Linked DNA regions of Oreochromis niloticus. The protein of the gene in region 2 purifies or fractionates together with the protein of the main gene of each other region. This does not show direct contact. Links are inferred from orthologs where the notes say so. Each region holds a gene or a part of one and is shown on either strand. Other genes may lie near its edges.

Evidence for each region.
Region 1: the proteins of mtch2 (region 2) and OCIA domain-containing protein 1 purify together in Homo sapiens (affinity purification with mass spectrometry; 3 studies listed by BioGRID and IntAct, with this or other methods). This does not show direct contact. The link is inferred for Oreochromis niloticus from reciprocal best matches to the Homo sapiens genes MTCH2 and OCIAD1.

What each region holds. Positions count from the first base shown.
Region 1 is NC_031971.2:23,931,268-23,939,098, forward strand, and holds the start of OCIA domain-containing protein 1, read right to left. Parts: upstream 3,081-7,831; 5' UTR 2,928-3,080; coding exon 2,874-2,927; intron 2,649-2,873; coding exon 2,564-2,648; intron 2,462-2,563; coding exon 2,408-2,461; intron 1,427-2,407; coding exon 1,379-1,426; intron 1,237-1,378; coding exon 1,107-1,236; intron 1,018-1,106; coding exon 851-1,017; intron 60-850; coding exon 1-59. Other genes in the region: slc34a2a (solute carrier family 34 member 2a), read left to right, coding at 6,477-6,500, 7,491-7,554, 7,647-7,757. UniProt on the Homo sapiens protein: Maintains stem cell potency. Increases STAT3 phosphorylation and controls ERK phosphorylation. May act as a scaffold, increasing STAT3 recruitment onto endosomes. Involved in integrin-mediated cancer cell adhesion and colony formation in ovarian cancer.
Region 2 is NC_031965.2:3,929,342-3,937,438, forward strand, and holds the start of mtch2 (mitochondrial carrier homolog 2), read left to right. Parts: upstream 1-5,008; 5' UTR 5,009-5,074; coding exon 5,075-5,161; intron 5,162-6,549; coding exon 6,550-6,634; intron 6,635-6,774; coding exon 6,775-6,881; intron 6,882-7,217; coding exon 7,218-7,244; intron 7,245-8,097. UniProt on the Homo sapiens protein: Protein insertase that mediates insertion of transmembrane proteins into the mitochondrial outer membrane. Catalyzes insertion of proteins with alpha-helical transmembrane regions, such as signal-anchored, tail-anchored and multi-pass membrane proteins.

The DNA of each region.
Region 1 (7,831 bases), on a different chromosome or scaffold from region 2:
CAGGTCCTCATAGAGGATAGACGTCCTCTTGGGCTCCTCCTCTTCCACATATGACTGGACTGAAATTTACAGGGCAAAAGATGGGATTTTTTTTTTTTTTTTTTTTTAAAAAGTTCATTTCTACTGGAAAGTTTTGTTGAAATGACGATTGAAACTTGGACAACTGAGTGTTCCAACAGGACAATGATCTCAGTACTTTAAAACTGACTTTGCAATAGATAAAGCAGGTTGCCATTAAGCTGGAGTGGCCTTCAGAAAGCTCAGACCTTAAAGTCTATTAAAAGTTTTTGGAGTACGCTTAAAAAGTCAGACCTGCGCCAGAAAATCAACAGATTTAAATTAACCAAGAAATCCAGCCAGCATTATGCCAGAAGCTTGCTGATGACTACCAGAAGCATATGGCTAAGGTGCAACTTGCTAAGGGACATACAACAAAATATCAGGGGAGATATGTGTATATATTTTTGACCCTCTGTGGATTAGAGAAACTCGAAAATAAATTCAAATTTGTGCACCCAACTCTTGTTTTTTTAAAAGTAATTTCAGATGTATGCTGTACAAGAAAAACTAGTAAATGCTGGACTTTGATGACCACCTCACTGTAACAAGTGAAAAGGAAAGACCTGGTATTCACTGGTAGCACTTTTCTATTCTTGCTGCAAGCAAAATTCAGAGAGCACTTTATCAATATAATATTCATGCTCGTGGAAAATTAACTGAAGATGGCTAGTGGGAGCTGCAAACTCCTTGCAAAAGGAGAACAGGAAGCTTTGGCCCCAGGACCTTCTTTTGGTGAGCTACTGTTGAGAACTCAGTTGTGAATAACCCACATATTGCCCCTTTGGAATACCTGGAGCACTAAAGTCATCTCCTCTGTCCATTTGTGCTGGTGGGTCTGGACTGTAGCCATATCCATAATCTTTGCTGTAGGTGTGGCTCGAGGCCTCTGCAGGCTGGAATATGGGTTCAAAAGACTGAGAGTCTGGGTCACCCAACTCTGACTGAGGACCCTGGGATCTGTAGAGAAGGGGACATATGCTAAAGGCAATGCTGCTGACAGTTAATCTCAACAGGCCAGCATTTAATTAAGTGTATGTGATACTCACTTCAGTGGAGGCAGGCCTGACCTCTGTCTGATAATCTCACCAAGAGGAGAGTTCTCCAGCCTCTTGAATTTTTCCTGACATGTTTTCATATATGACAGTTTTCCAGCCAGGTAGCCACAGAAACCAGCAACTGTAGGGTCAAACACAGTCAAAGAAAAGAAATGAGAAAACAACACAAACTGAGTTTAATAGAGAGGTTTTTCTTATTCTACTCAGTAAATACAGGGTAAGTGTGTGTATGTGTGTTTCCCACATATTTAACACAAACTTACAGGCAACTTTGGGTAAAGATCCAAATCTTGGAGATGCAGACAGAGCCCCTGCAAATTTAACACATTCATGTCAACTTGAGGATCAACATGTGACAATGTTCATTTAACTGATATTGTGCTGATTCCAGTACAGCAGGGATGTTAAACACCCCAGGGCCATTGTTATGGCCCTGGGGCCAGAATGATCTCGCCCCTCTGGATGCTTTAGAGAATGTGAAAATTACAAAGAGAGCATAAATTTCAATATTTCACTGTGCTTTCTGTCAGTTTTAGAGCCATCTTACAAACAGAAATATCAGCAACCCATCAACAGCTCTGTCCTTGCCAGTCCCCAAGACTCCATAGAGGAGGTGGATGTTAACCATGCCAGTGTTCATTATGGACAACACCTCTCACCCCCTGCATGAGACTGTGGAGCCCCTGAGCAGCTCCTTCAGCAGTAGACTGTTACAAACACGGTGTAGGAACAAGCACTATCGCAAGCCCTTCATCCCAACAGCAGTCAAAGTGTACAATATAGACACAGGAAAAGCACCATCTAAAAATACTTGTGTATAAATATAATGTCTAATTTACTTTTTCTTTCTGACCCTTGTAACAAGGGAATTTCCACAGTGTGGGATTAGTAAAGTATCTATCTATAATTATAGATTTATTTATTTATTTTTTTTTAATTATTGCTAGTACTCCATTAATTGGCAGAAGTTCATGTTTTTCACTATTTTCTATAGAAATTAATGTTGTTTTGTGGTAAAAATTGATCAAAATTATCTGTAAAAGAACAAAAAAAAGTTACATTTCTTTCTAAACATTTAAGACCACAGTGACATGCTGATTCACTCCCACATCTTTTCTTTATAAATTGTTTTCATAAGACATCTCTTACATCTTCAGAGTGAAAGAAAGAGGAACACTTTATAATACGTATGACTGATCTGTCCTATTGAAGACCAGATTGGACTGCTCTGAATGTGGCCCACTGTGTAAAATGAGTTTGACACCCCTGCTCCACAGTATGAACAACATTACCTCTGGCCACTAGGGCTTGGGTGATAGCCATGCTGATCACAGAGAAGGGCACCGCTGTGGAGAAATCGTAATGATGTCAGTGTAAACACGACGGAGTCACAACAAACAACATTTTCACATCCTAAACCATCAAGCTGGCATGCACGGGAAACTTACACCTGTAAAAAAAGCTCTCCTGGTTGCACTCTCTCAACACTCTCCTCTCTTCTTCTGTGGGGATGTAGTCAATGTTCAGCGGCGTCTGCAGGTTAACGCAAACACCTTACCGTTAGTTAACAGCCGCTAGAAGTCATAGAAATCCACGCAAACGTTTCCACCTTCAAATTACTGAAATTAAAACGGAGGGCAACAAAGCACACCCCCGTCTCCATAAAACTGCGCGTGCAGTTCATACAAAGTCACTGCCAGCTACCGTAAGCTAACGTGTTAGCATCTAACTTAGTGCGTGTTTATCTCCGTTTTTTACCTGCGCCGGTTGGTGCTGCCGCTCGCCCGGGAAACCTGTAGTGGAGGACGACATACTGACGATAATGTCCAAGCTTCCTGACAACTCAAAGCATGTGAACTAACATAGTGTATGCCACTCGGCGTACTGACTTATATAGTGTTTGGTACAATGTCATTGCTACAGATAGCGCTGACATTAACCCGGAAGTTGAAGGAAAGTTGCATTTGTTTAGCTAACAAAAAATGAGAAAAGAAAAGAAAACGTGTTAAGCTCAGTTTTACTGCTGGAATGTAATCTCCCATGAACATCATTCCAAATAATAAAAAAATAATATCGTTGCAGTTTTATTACTTTAAAACATCTGAAAGAGCTCTCAACTGGGTCTTTTATTTTGAAAAAAAAAAAAGGCTGTTAAAGCGGTACCAATGATGTCTACCCGCTCCCTCTAGTGGATGTGAACTAATTTCTGTCACTTTCCGGTTCACATCTTCACCTATTATTATGCAAACAATTTAATTGTTTTCATAATCATAACTGCCTTATTGTATGGCTATTGGTTTGCTGGTAAGAAGAATTAATTTTTTTAGAGCCACACGTCCAAAGAGATCCGATACTAATGAGAATTATTTTTATTTGGTGAACAGTAGATGGGTCAGCTTGGTTTAGAGTCACAGGTGTCGAACTCCAGGCCTCGAGGGCCAGTGTCCTGCAGGTTTTAGATGTATCCTTGATCCAACACAGCTGATTTAAATGGCTAAATGACCTCCTAAACATGTCTTGATGTTCTCCAGAGGCCTGGTAATGAACTAATAATTTGATTCAGGTGTGTTGGCCCAGGGTGAGCTCTAAAACCTGCAGGACACCAGCCCTTGAGGCCTGTAGTTCGACACCCCTGATGCATCTCACAGGTCCCGTGTCAGGTCTTTGCTGGACATGACTTTTAGATACTGCTTATCTGGTGTAGATATTTTTAGGCCTGCCTTTTTTGTCTTCCACTTGTCCAGTTTGCTCAAATTTGTAAGCACACACTGGACGGAATTACACAGCCTTTTCATGGTTGAATCATTCATAGGTCAGTATTAAGTGACTTAAGAAACAAAAAGCATTCCTGTGAAAATAGCCAGGTGCAAGTACTTTGATTTAATATAAACAAATAAATCATAAAACCTGAAGAAGTATTTCTCAAGAACATTTTAAAAACATGACAAGAAAGTCTGGCTGCTAGAAAGCAAAATGAGGGGCGACTCAAGATGTTTGCATAGTGTGTCACATAATCATATATGTCTCATCATATTATATTTTACAATACTACAAGTTTTTATAATATACATTATGCATGCTACATAATATTTCAATTGAAAAACACATTAAATTTTACTATAATTTTATGCATGTTGTCCTGATTATTTAGACTTTACAGACAGCAAAATGCTTTCCAGAGTTGCACAACTAATTTTTCTGTACTTCGTGCGTGATGTATCAGTTTAGGAACCATTAATGGCAACTTGATTTGCATTAAAAATAATATACAGGGCCACAGATGTGTGATAAGAGCTAAATTGTGCAGTGCTGTAATAGCATGGTATAGTGCCTAGATGATGCTGTTGCACTTGTAAACTGAAAAAGACTTTGCCTCACATCCTCCTGAGAACCAGCCTATTCATTTATGTCCTCTTTAACAGACAATTGTTTTTGGTCTGTGTCTTTGGACATATTTGAGCTACCATAATAAGCCCTGTTGTGCTCAAAAGAGAACATCCTGGCTTTTCCAATATCTCATGTGTTTGGGTGGCCTCTTTCAGCTCCAAATAGGCTGGATATCACAAAAGAAGTTCAACTGAAACACAATTGTTTCCTTGGTTCTTAGAAGGACATGACATGTACAGGCACATATATGCATCAAAAGGCCTTTTAATGCTGCTATTAAGGAGAAGATTAAGCCTGTGAATCTTTTTATCCTAAGCATGTTCAAAATCCGTACAACAGAAGAGAGGCCATAATCAATAAAAGTAAAAGAAAACTAAAAGATGAGGTCAGTTGTATCCTTTGTCACCTTAGTTATCTTCCATTTGGTTTTACTGCATGGCAGGAGATGCCAGGCTAAAGGGTATATGTGCCTTAGCTGTGTTGGTGTGTGATGGAGGTGCTCCTGTTTAGGTGTAAGGCCAAACTGGAATGCTAAGGCATAATCAGGCAATCAGAACTGTAGCTGGAGAGTTGTAATTTGTAGGCTTTTGGGAGAACCAGACGGGCACCTCAGTGCACTGGGTTGCAGAGGGGCACAGCGTGGCTTCTGGGACAATCAATACTGGCAATGGTTTCATTAGGTCACTGCAGAGTTACTTGAGCTAACCACACTGTTACATAACTGGGCCACTCAGTTAGCTCTAAGATGTGGTACAAATTACTTGCTGAGTTAACTGTGGCACTTTGGTTTGTTTTTTGGATTAATATTAACTACCCCCATTTAAAAAGATCAGTTACACATTTGTTTGGTTAATCTGTCTAAAATCAGTGATCTCTAATAAAACTGTCCTCTTACACAGATTTCCTTTATGAAAGTTAAGCTGTTCAGTATTTGTTAAAAGTGCTTAAAAAAATCACATTAGCACTTCTTTAAAATGGAAAATTATGAGTTCATATTTATTTCATGTGCATCCACATTGACAAGCTGAACCTAATAAATTAGCAACAGAGCATTTGGTCAGATGGGAAGCATACATGGAAATGTCCCACAGGGGCTTGTTGTGCACTAGAGCAGTGGATCCTGGATTCCCATGTTGGCGCAGCTACCACGGAGATTCAGTCCTTCACTTTGGCGCAGACTGACTTCTACTTTTTTTGTTATGAAGAGTTTTATGGAGCTAAACTTAGTTCACTGGCATTTTGAAATATTGACCAACGGGTAGCTGGATTAGGAAAATCAATAATTTCTATCCAAAAATGCTCCAAAAATACACTCAAGTTGGACTTCTATGACATTATAGACCCACCCCACCCCCATTACAGTCAATGATCACACCCCACCGCCCTGTGTGGTATAGATAAATCTTTGTCAGGGAATCCATTGTGTCTGTCACCTCTTTCCCATGTTAATCTCAGGGTCCACCAGCTGGAGCTATCCTCACTCTGAGAGCTGTGCATGAGACATGCAACAAAGAATTATTTTTTTATTTTTTAACAGCTAAATGAAGTACAGAGTTTTTGCTTTAAAAGTTCATGTTTTAAATGGATGATCATACTTTCAAATGGGACAAGCAAACAGAACTGATTATGAGTTTTGCGTGTAAAACGTACAAAGTATATCGGTAAGGTAAGTTTAGCAGCAGGTGTGGAGGTGCAGTTGAAAGCTGACGCCACCAGCCTGAGACTTATCAGGTACAATGTGAGTTGGATTGCAACACCACTGGCAGAAAGATTAAAGCCGAGTCAGGTAAGACTAATCAAAGTTTGGAAGGTGTGTTCTTCTTATCATCGTGACGGAAGTGTTCCCGGTGATGTGAACACTGCACATCACATTTTCATTTGGTCTACATTGACCCCTCTCCCACCTTTTCTACTCTATCTGCACGAAGGCAGCATTTTTAAACCTGAGGCCAAAGTAAAAAGTGCACGGGAAGGATGGACACACTACATCTGCCACAGGTGAGGACAGACATGTCTCAGTCAATCTTCTAATTATTTTTGCTGCTGTTAACTGAAAACTGAATGCAAATCTGGAGTATTTAAATTAATAAAATTATATGATGGATGGGGAGAATCAGTATGGGTCAAGAGTTCATGAACTATAACATTTGTATGGCAACACAAGGATGTGTGTAGTTTTTGAAATTTTATTTATTTCTTAATGTTTTAAATATGTTTTAACATGCATACTGCTCATACAGTATGCACGTGGCTCTTCATTCATGTGAAAAAAACAAAACAAAACTTGAGCTGGAATTCAGAACAGAAAACACTGAAATTAAGTCTGAAAGTGATTGGATGTGGTCCACTGAAGCCCAGCATGTGAAAACTAAAACTGACGTTCAATATTAGCTGTGCAGTAATCCTCTTATGAACGAGTAATGATAGAAAACCGGGCACAGCTTAGACAAATAGTGCACACTTAGAAGCTTTACAAATTATTATCAAAGTATAAACAATAGCAAAATGATGAAACATACCCCAGAGTGTTTTCTTTTTGTCATACTGTCCAGTGACTGGAATTTTACTGGAATTACATGTGACACAAAGATCAATACCCTGGCATTAGACAAGATGTGTGTGTGTGTGTGTGTGTTATTCCTGAAGCCAATACCTGCTGGAGAAAATTAGTTTGTTTTAAAAAGCGAGGAGTCGATACAGCTGAATGAGGTTTTCTGTATCTTTGCTTAGTTTGCTGCATTGTTAGTTAACTGCAATCATCACTCTAACAGATTGCTGCAAAAATAGAGGAAATTTTACACAGCGATGCATCATTCTGTGTAAATGCTTGCTGCATTTAGGGATAACAGCAAGCTGCTTTACAGTTTATGTATAATATTGCGTTTTTTCTTTGTGTGATCTAAATATTGCCATAACTTCGATATAATGTAAGTATTGTTTGTATGACTAAAGCTAAATGAGTGAAAATTAATCTGATTTTTTTTTCAGCAAATGGCTACAAAAAACAAATGTAAGGAAGAAAACGATGAGAAAAATGGATATAAAAGTAAAGGTGTGTAAGGAAAAGCTACTGATTGATTTCATCAGAATTACATGTGTGTGTGCAGCAGGACAAAAATGGTCTTTTTTTCCCATTATTTATAGAAATCAAAGCGAGCCCTGCACATTCCACCGCGGCTCTGATCGTGGATGAGCCGGAGGACACAGATCCGTGGGACCTGCCAGAACTGAAGGATGCGGGTGTCCCGTGGTCAGGTGTAGACTCGTTGTTTCTAAAAGTACAAGCAATGTCTCATCAAGGACTGTGATAAGACAGTGCTGATAAGATT
Region 2 (8,097 bases):
GCGCTATTCCAAGAAAATGATGACATAACAAGATAGCACTCATCACATTGGAGGTGTGCGCCAAATTTCAAGACTTTTTAAACTTTCCAAGCCCCTCAAAAGCCACTTCATCTTTCATGGTGAACGGCGTTGCCACCAGGGTGCGCCGTTCAGTTTATAATCACAAATTTCTCACTGAAGCATCAAGAGGGACTGATGGTGATATTCACCGCTTTTGAGGTGGCCACGATGAACCTGTGAAAATCAGTACAACAAAATGAAAGACATGACATTTCCTGGTGCCACTAGGTGGCGCTCTACGTATTCCTGACAATGGGCATATCAATCTGTTCAGGGCGGGTCTGACATCATCCCTGTAAAATCTGGTACTGATCACATTGGATTTCATTGAGTTACACTAATTTGTTTCTTCATGGCGAGACCTCAATGTTCGCCATGCTGCTGGGGTCACACCCTTCAGCGAAAACTCACAGTTTTCTCTGGAACCCAAGACCAACTCCTTAAGGCTTTCCTGGAGAAATTTGAGGCTGCAGATGTCACCCATTACAATACTGTACCCCAAAGTGTAAAACATGACATTTCCTGTTCCCACTAGGTGGCGCTGTCCCTGATGTCAAATATGGCAGTTGAAATATGTTCAGGGGTGGAGCCTTATCATATCTGTCCACTTTGGTCAAGATCGGACAATGTATGACAGAACGAGAGGCAATAAGATTTTCATGGCGAGTCATCGAAATTCGCCGTGGCGCCACGGCCTCACCGTATCGCGAAAACTCAAAAGCTCCGCAATTTAACATGGCCCAGGTGTGTAGTTGACACTGACCAAATATGAAGCTTGTCCGATGAAATTCCAATGAGGAGTTCGCAAAAGTTCGAGGCGTGGAAATGGCAAAATTAGAGCCAAAATGTCACCTTCACTTCCAAATGGCGGACTTCCTGTTGGGTTTGCATCAATGGTCCCACTGACTTTTTTGTTCGTCTTGGCATGTTACACATGTGTGCCAGATTTCAGACATGTAGCTCAAACGATGTGTTCGTAGGGCTGCATTTAACAAGGCATAGGTGGCGCTCTAGAGCCATTTCCCAGTGCTCCTATGTAAAACCAATAAAATACAAAATTTTTCACCAGACCTGGCATGTGTGCAAAATTTCAAGAGTTTTTGAGCATGTTAAAGCCCTCAAAAAGGCCCTTGTTTTGCCTGAATAATAATAAGAAGAAGAAGAAGAAGAAGAAGAAACAGAGCAGATACAATAGGGCCTTCGCACTCTCGGTGCTCGGGCCCTAATAAGAAACGGAGCAGATACAATAGGGCCTTCGCACTCTCGGTGCTCGGGCCCTAATAAACGGAGCAGATACAATAGGGCCTTCGCACTTTTAGTGCTCGGGCCCTAATAATAATAATAAGAAGAAGAAGAAACGGAGCAGATACAATAGGGCCTTCGCACTCTCGGTGCTCGGGCCCTAATAAACGGAGCAGATACAATAGGGCCTTCGCACTTTTAGTGCTCGGGCCCTAATAATAAACGGAGCAGATACAATAGGGCCTTCGCACTTTTGTGCTCGGGCCCTAATAATAATAATAAGAAGAAACGGAGCAGATACAATAGGGCCTTCGCACTCTCAGTGCTCGGGCCCTAATAATAATAATAAACGGAGCAGATACAATAGGGCCTTCGCACTCTCAGTGCTCGGGCCCTAATAAGAAACGGAGCAGATACAATAGGGCCTTCGCACTCTCGGTGCTCGGGCCCTAATAAGAAACGGAGCAGATACAATAGGGCCTTCGCACTTTTAGTGCTTGGGCCCTGATAATAATAAACAGAGCAGATACAATAGGGCCTTCGCACTCTCAGTGCTCAGGCCCTAATAATAATAATAATAAAAAATGGAGCAGATACAATAGGGCCTTCGCACTTTTAGTGCTCGGGCCCTAATAAACAGAGCAGATACAATAGGGCCTTCGCACTCTCAGTGCTCGGGCCCTAATAATATGAAACGGAGCAGATACAATAGGGCCTTCGCACTCTCAGTGCTCGGGCCCTAATAATGATAATAAGAAGAAGAAACGGAGCAGATACAATAGGGCCTTCGCACTCTCAGTGCTCGGGCCCTAATAATAAATGGAGCAGATAAAATAGGGCCTTTGCACTCTCAGTGCTCGGGCCCTAAATATAAGAAGAGTAATAAAATAAATATACACTTTAGGACTATCTATCTATCTGTCTATTAGGTTATGTTGTGGTGATTCTCAGGTTGGGGGATGGGTGTTCATACTGAAGTGCAAAATTAAAACCAATGGAAGATGGACAAGTAAAAGTTCAAAGCCATCAGGTGCTCAGTTAATAAAAATGAGAAAAGAAGAGGAGGAGAAACGAGCAAAAGATACAGGTAAGCAGATGTGTCATTGGATAATGGCAGGTCATCCTGAAACAATCAGAATCATAATCAGAATACTTTATTAATCCCTAAGGAAATTATGTGGGTTACAGTTGCTCCAAGAAGAAATGGTAAAAATAGTAACAGTAACAGACTAAACTCCAAACAATACATTATGTTACAGATTTTAATGTTGATTAGTCATTGTCAATTGTTGATTTGTCCTGTTCTCATTGTATGACACATTATGATGGCTGTTTGGTAGCCGTTTGCATACTATCCATACTTTCTCTCTCTTCATATCCGTGTGTGTGTGCGCATTTTTCTCTGGTGAAATTCAGTATGGTTCTGACAACAGTTTTATGTTAATGTACAATCCTTAATACCTTTCGTGCGTGTGTGTGTGTGGGGGGGAGTGTTCGCCCAGGGCGACAAACAGGCTAGGACCGCGGTAGGAATTAGAATCAAACTTATGGGAGAGGAGACCCCTTGGACATAAATCAGCATAATGAGAACTATTGAAAACAAAAGAAAGAATCTTTGGAAAAAAATTATCTGAGGAGAATAAATTTATTTTAGTCTGACCCCAGTCCCATCCGCTAACATGGAGGAGGCGGGGTTTATGACCTTGCCATCACCAGTGTATGAATGTGTGTGTGAATGGGTGAATGACTGAATGTAGTGTGAAGCGCTTTGGGGTCCTTAGGGACTAAGTAAAGCGCTATACAAATGCAGGCCATACTGCAGCCAGACACCAGGGGGCGATAGAGACGTTTTGGCTTCATTTTTGGGGAGCTGTCGCGTCGTCCATGTTTTCTACAGTCATTGCACTGTACCCAGGTGCTTCTTCTCAGTGTTTTTATTTTTATCAGCCTTTGTCAACAAAGGGATGAGGGTCATACGGTGCTCTCAGCCATGCACCGTATGGCTGAAGCTTGTTGCCTGCTCATTCCACTGAGCTAAACCCTTCTTCTTGGTGTTTATTTGTGGTTGAACCAGAATGTCACTAAAGGATTACATTCTCTCATACAAATGTGCTTTCCTAAGATTATTAAAAATTGCCTGATAACTGTTACTTCTTGAGTTATTTCTAAGTAAATCAATGAAATCTACTTTCAGTTTAATTTTATTTAGGTTTTGTCTTCTTTCTTACTCTTCTGAAAGCGTAATATAACATGCTCTATTTTGTGATTATCTCCACAGTACTTGCATTTTCAATTGCAATATTTCCCTAAAATGAATAATGTGCCCATGTCTTCTGCTTGTTGGTTTTCCTGGTTTTTTACCAGCTATTTGGCAATAAAGGTCTGATTCGCACAGTCTCCTCTGAACAGTTAATGTGAAGATGTGTCTGCTACTGGAACTCTGTGTGGCATTTATCTGGGCTTTAACTAGAGGTGCTGGTGACTTGGATGAATTTATCCTCAGCACCAGAGGTGACGCTTGGTCTTCCTTTCCCGGGGCAGTCCTCATGTGAGCCACTTTTGTCATAGCGCTTGATGGTTTTTGCTACTGCAATTGGGGACACATTCAAAGTTTTAGCAACTTTCTGGACTCACTGACCTTCAGTTCTTAAAGTAATGGTGGACTTTCATTTCTCTTTACTTAGCAGATTGGTTCTTGCCATAAATATGAATTGTAACAGTGTCAAATAGGGCTTCACACCTGTGAAGTGAAAGCCATTTCTCTCAGTGAGCTTTCATGAAGCTCACTGAGAGAAGGACAAGGGTTTGCAGTTCTGTCAACAAAGCAAAGTGAGGCTACTGTTAGGAATCTAAAATATAAGATATATTTGGAGTTGTTTATCAGTGTTTTCTTTGCTACATTCTATATATCTTGTTTCATATATTTGATGTCTTCGGTATGTACCTGTAATGTAGAAAGTAGTAAAACATTAAATGAGAAGGTGTGTCCAAACTTTTGACTGATAGTGTATTATAGTAAGTATAAGAAATTCCTTTTTTTTCTAGCACAAATGGTGAATGCGGAAATGTATTTCCTAATATCCCTGTCCATAGTCGGCTACTGACAAGAGCATATCAGGAGTGAGAGCATATCAGGAGTGAGAGTGATAAAGAGCAGTCTAGACCCAGTTAATGACCCATAAGTGGAGTGAGAGAGAGACAAACTGTTACTGATACTGTTGAAAAGTATATGATGAATACATTCATCAGAGATTCCATGTTTGAAATTTATATTTTATATTATTTGTATATTTTGTATATTGTATAATGCTGTACCCTTGTGATTTTTCAGACATGCTGATTATTTTGTTTTCTACTGTCGCAGGCACCCAAGTGTAAATCAGAGCTTCCATTTTAAAATTAGTTCATGTGTAGCAATTCCAATTCAGCTCCACATTACTTTGCATTTTAAGACTTTACAAATGACTTATTTATGTATTTTTAGAGCCTCTATTTTGATAGCAAAGTTAGGACAGAGCAAGGTAAAGACACACTTGGCTTATTTTTTGAGCCTTTCCACTGCTCTACAAAGATGACTTTCACGTTCTCTCATCGTTACCAACCTGCCTGGCCTGCAACACTGGGCTGCCTCAGACTTGAACATTGGCTCAAAACGAAGTACAACGTTGTCATATCGCTTATAAACATTAGATGGCAGTATTGTTTTCCACGGACGTTATCCCAGAGGCAAAAAGAAAAAGGAGAACTTCCTGTCTCTACCGTCTCTCCAAAAATGGCGGAGGTGTGTGGTCAAGTGTTATTGGGATCAGGGCTTACTGTGCTCTCCCATCCTTTGATGTACATTAAAGTCCTGATCCAGGTAAGAGGCGGAGAGTTTGGACAGATTCTGTTACGTTTCCTTTCAGGGCCTGATTCAGACACTCTTTACTTATCTTTGTAAATACTGTAACTCTCGCTAGTATCTCTCTAGAAGAGGAAATTACCATTCATTTTCACAGTGTATTGCCTCGTTTACCAGTAAATTAATACGTTTTTAGCACACACAGAGACCTTTAATAAGTCTTGATAACTATTTATTTGAGAATATAGCAGGAACTCTCCCAGTAATAGGATCGGCCACATTATTGTCCCCGTCTGTTGTCCCTGTGACCTTCTGTTTCCTCATTGCTGTGCAATAGGCGGAAGCCGTGTGTTAATCGTTTTCGAAAGTTAATAATTGACTGCAATGTTACCCTGCTTCATTTATATTCTGTGCGCAGATTGAACAAAAACAATTTGTGTTCTAGAGACATAATTCTACATAGCTCATACATGCCTTATTTTCTAAGAAAGCCAGCGGCGTTAAGTTGCCATTTGTTGAACTGCTAGAGATAACCGCAAGTTAGCTGTCAGCTGATTACCTCTAACGCCACTTTCTGTAGTGTCTTAGACTGATGTCTTCAACACACAGTGTATATTCATAAGTTTGTCACTGGGAGAAATGTATACTGTTTGCTTCTCAGTTACGATTACTGGTAGCTCAATGCCTTTAGCTCTTGAAAAACATGAAAATTACTAACACACACGAGCACGAGCACATCAGCAGAGGACCGGGGACTTGTATCAATTAACGTTTGCTTAATTACAACCAAAAATAGCTTACAGTTCAGGTTGATCTTAATGACAGAACAAGTCATTAAGTGATAGAGTGATAGTTTTACTAGATGCTAACAGTTCTCTGCCTTGTGTATACCGTGTCCATATTTGTAGCAGTCGGCTAATCATCAATTGTGCATGAACTGTTTGGGTTATATATGAATGCAGCACAGTGCACAAACTGGTGCCCTGTCAAACTTATGTGATATCTGGAAACATAGTTTTGTAAAGGAAAAATAACCAAATAAGTGAGTGCTAAATACTAAAATCAAAAGTCAACATCATCATAAAAAAAAAATAAAGATTTGTCTGTCTGTTTCTTCTTGCTATGTAGCTTGTGATGTGTTCTGTCTCACTCTCAATGGTCTGTCTCTCTACAGTGCCATTCAGTACTGGACACAGTCCTTCCTGGCTCTGTGCAAATAATCTAACTAAATATCTATTGGAAAAACACACTAGAGGAGATATCAAGCTGTACATGATATTCTGCAGATAAAAACTTCTCTTGCAGCATTTTTGGTGTTTTGCTGTATTTCTCTAGGGTACATAAAGACAATATTTGTTCCTCCTATGGTACCCTCTCATTGTTTTTGGTTTTGTGTGTGTTATCAGGTAGGACATGAGCCGCTCCCTCCCACCCTGGGCAGGAATTTATTTGGAAGACAAGTCTACCAGCTACCTGGACTGTTTGCTTATGGCAAGTTTGATTCTTGATATTTTTATAAATGGAGTTGGTAATATCAGTATTACAGTGCTTTGAATGATTGTATGTAGATATTTAACCTTGTAGTTCTACCAATATTTACAATGTACCCTGCTCTGCACTAAATGTTTCAGCAAAACACATCATTAGGATTGATGGAAGAGCTGGTCTTTTCAAAGGACTTGGTCCGAGGCTTTGTGCAGGCACTATTGGCACAGTCGTACACAGCAAAGTTGTACAGGTAAGCCTGAATAGATAGGTTTGCCACAGAAAGGTTTGATTAAACAACTATGTCCAGATGAACAGAATCAACTTTTGGAGATTTACTTTCCTGGATGATTGAGAATGCATCAAGACGATTAAACAACTAGTTTCTGTTTAGTCTTTTCTTTGGATTTTTTTTAGATGGTCATTTATTTCAATCATTTGTGATGCATACTAATGGCCTTCGTAAGTGACCTATGTGCTGGGACTAAAAATGGCATTGACTTTGAACTCCGTTTCTTACCATCTGTGTTGTAAGTGTAACTCAAAAACTGTTCATTCTGGCTGCTTGATAACCTCTATCCTCTTACAGAAATGTCAAGAACAAGGCACCCCACAGGTAAGTTTTTTTTTTTTTTTAAATCCTATTTATGGTCACAGTATGATAAGTTCAAAATGTTCACTGACTCCCCATAAAATGCAACAGTTTAGCCCCTGTCCCCTTCAAGATCCTTTCCCTGTGCAGCAACGCACCACTCCCCGCACTCCTATATTAAAATCTGTTGTTCTTTCACTTCTGAAAACTTGAAAAAAGTTGTACTGTATTGCCTGGATCGCTTATAGTAGAGCATCTAATACTGTTTTGTAACGGGTATTAAGTGTGGGAGTAAGGATCAGGTTATTTTTGAAAATAAATGTGGTAGAAAAATTTGTAAAATAAAGTAAATTTATTTTAGTAACTGAATAATCTATCGATTATTCCATAGTTTAATCGAGTAATCGGATAAGAAGTACTTTTGCCTTTAGTAGTGTCAAAAAGACACTACTAAACAAAAACTAAACCCTCTGATTGATTACATGTCATATATATGTCTTGATGCATTCTCAATCATCCAGGAAAGTAAATCTCCAAAAGTTGATTCTGTTCATCTGGACGTAGCGTTTTGTGGGAGAAATGTTTCATCACTCATCCAAGTGACTTCTTCAGTCTCAGCTGACTGCAGGTTTCCCCAAATCTTATAAACAGTACATTTGCATAATGACTGAAACCAACCCACTGAAAGAACAATAGGCTGTGAGGTCAGTTCCTTAATCATAATTATGCAAATTCTCATGACCATTGATCAACAATCACTGACCAAAACCCACTGATCAAAGACCACTGATGAATGGCCATGAGTACCATTCACAGAGAGTTGGGGAATGGCTGCAATCACAGCATTGTAAGATGGCGAAAGATGTACCCTTAGGCC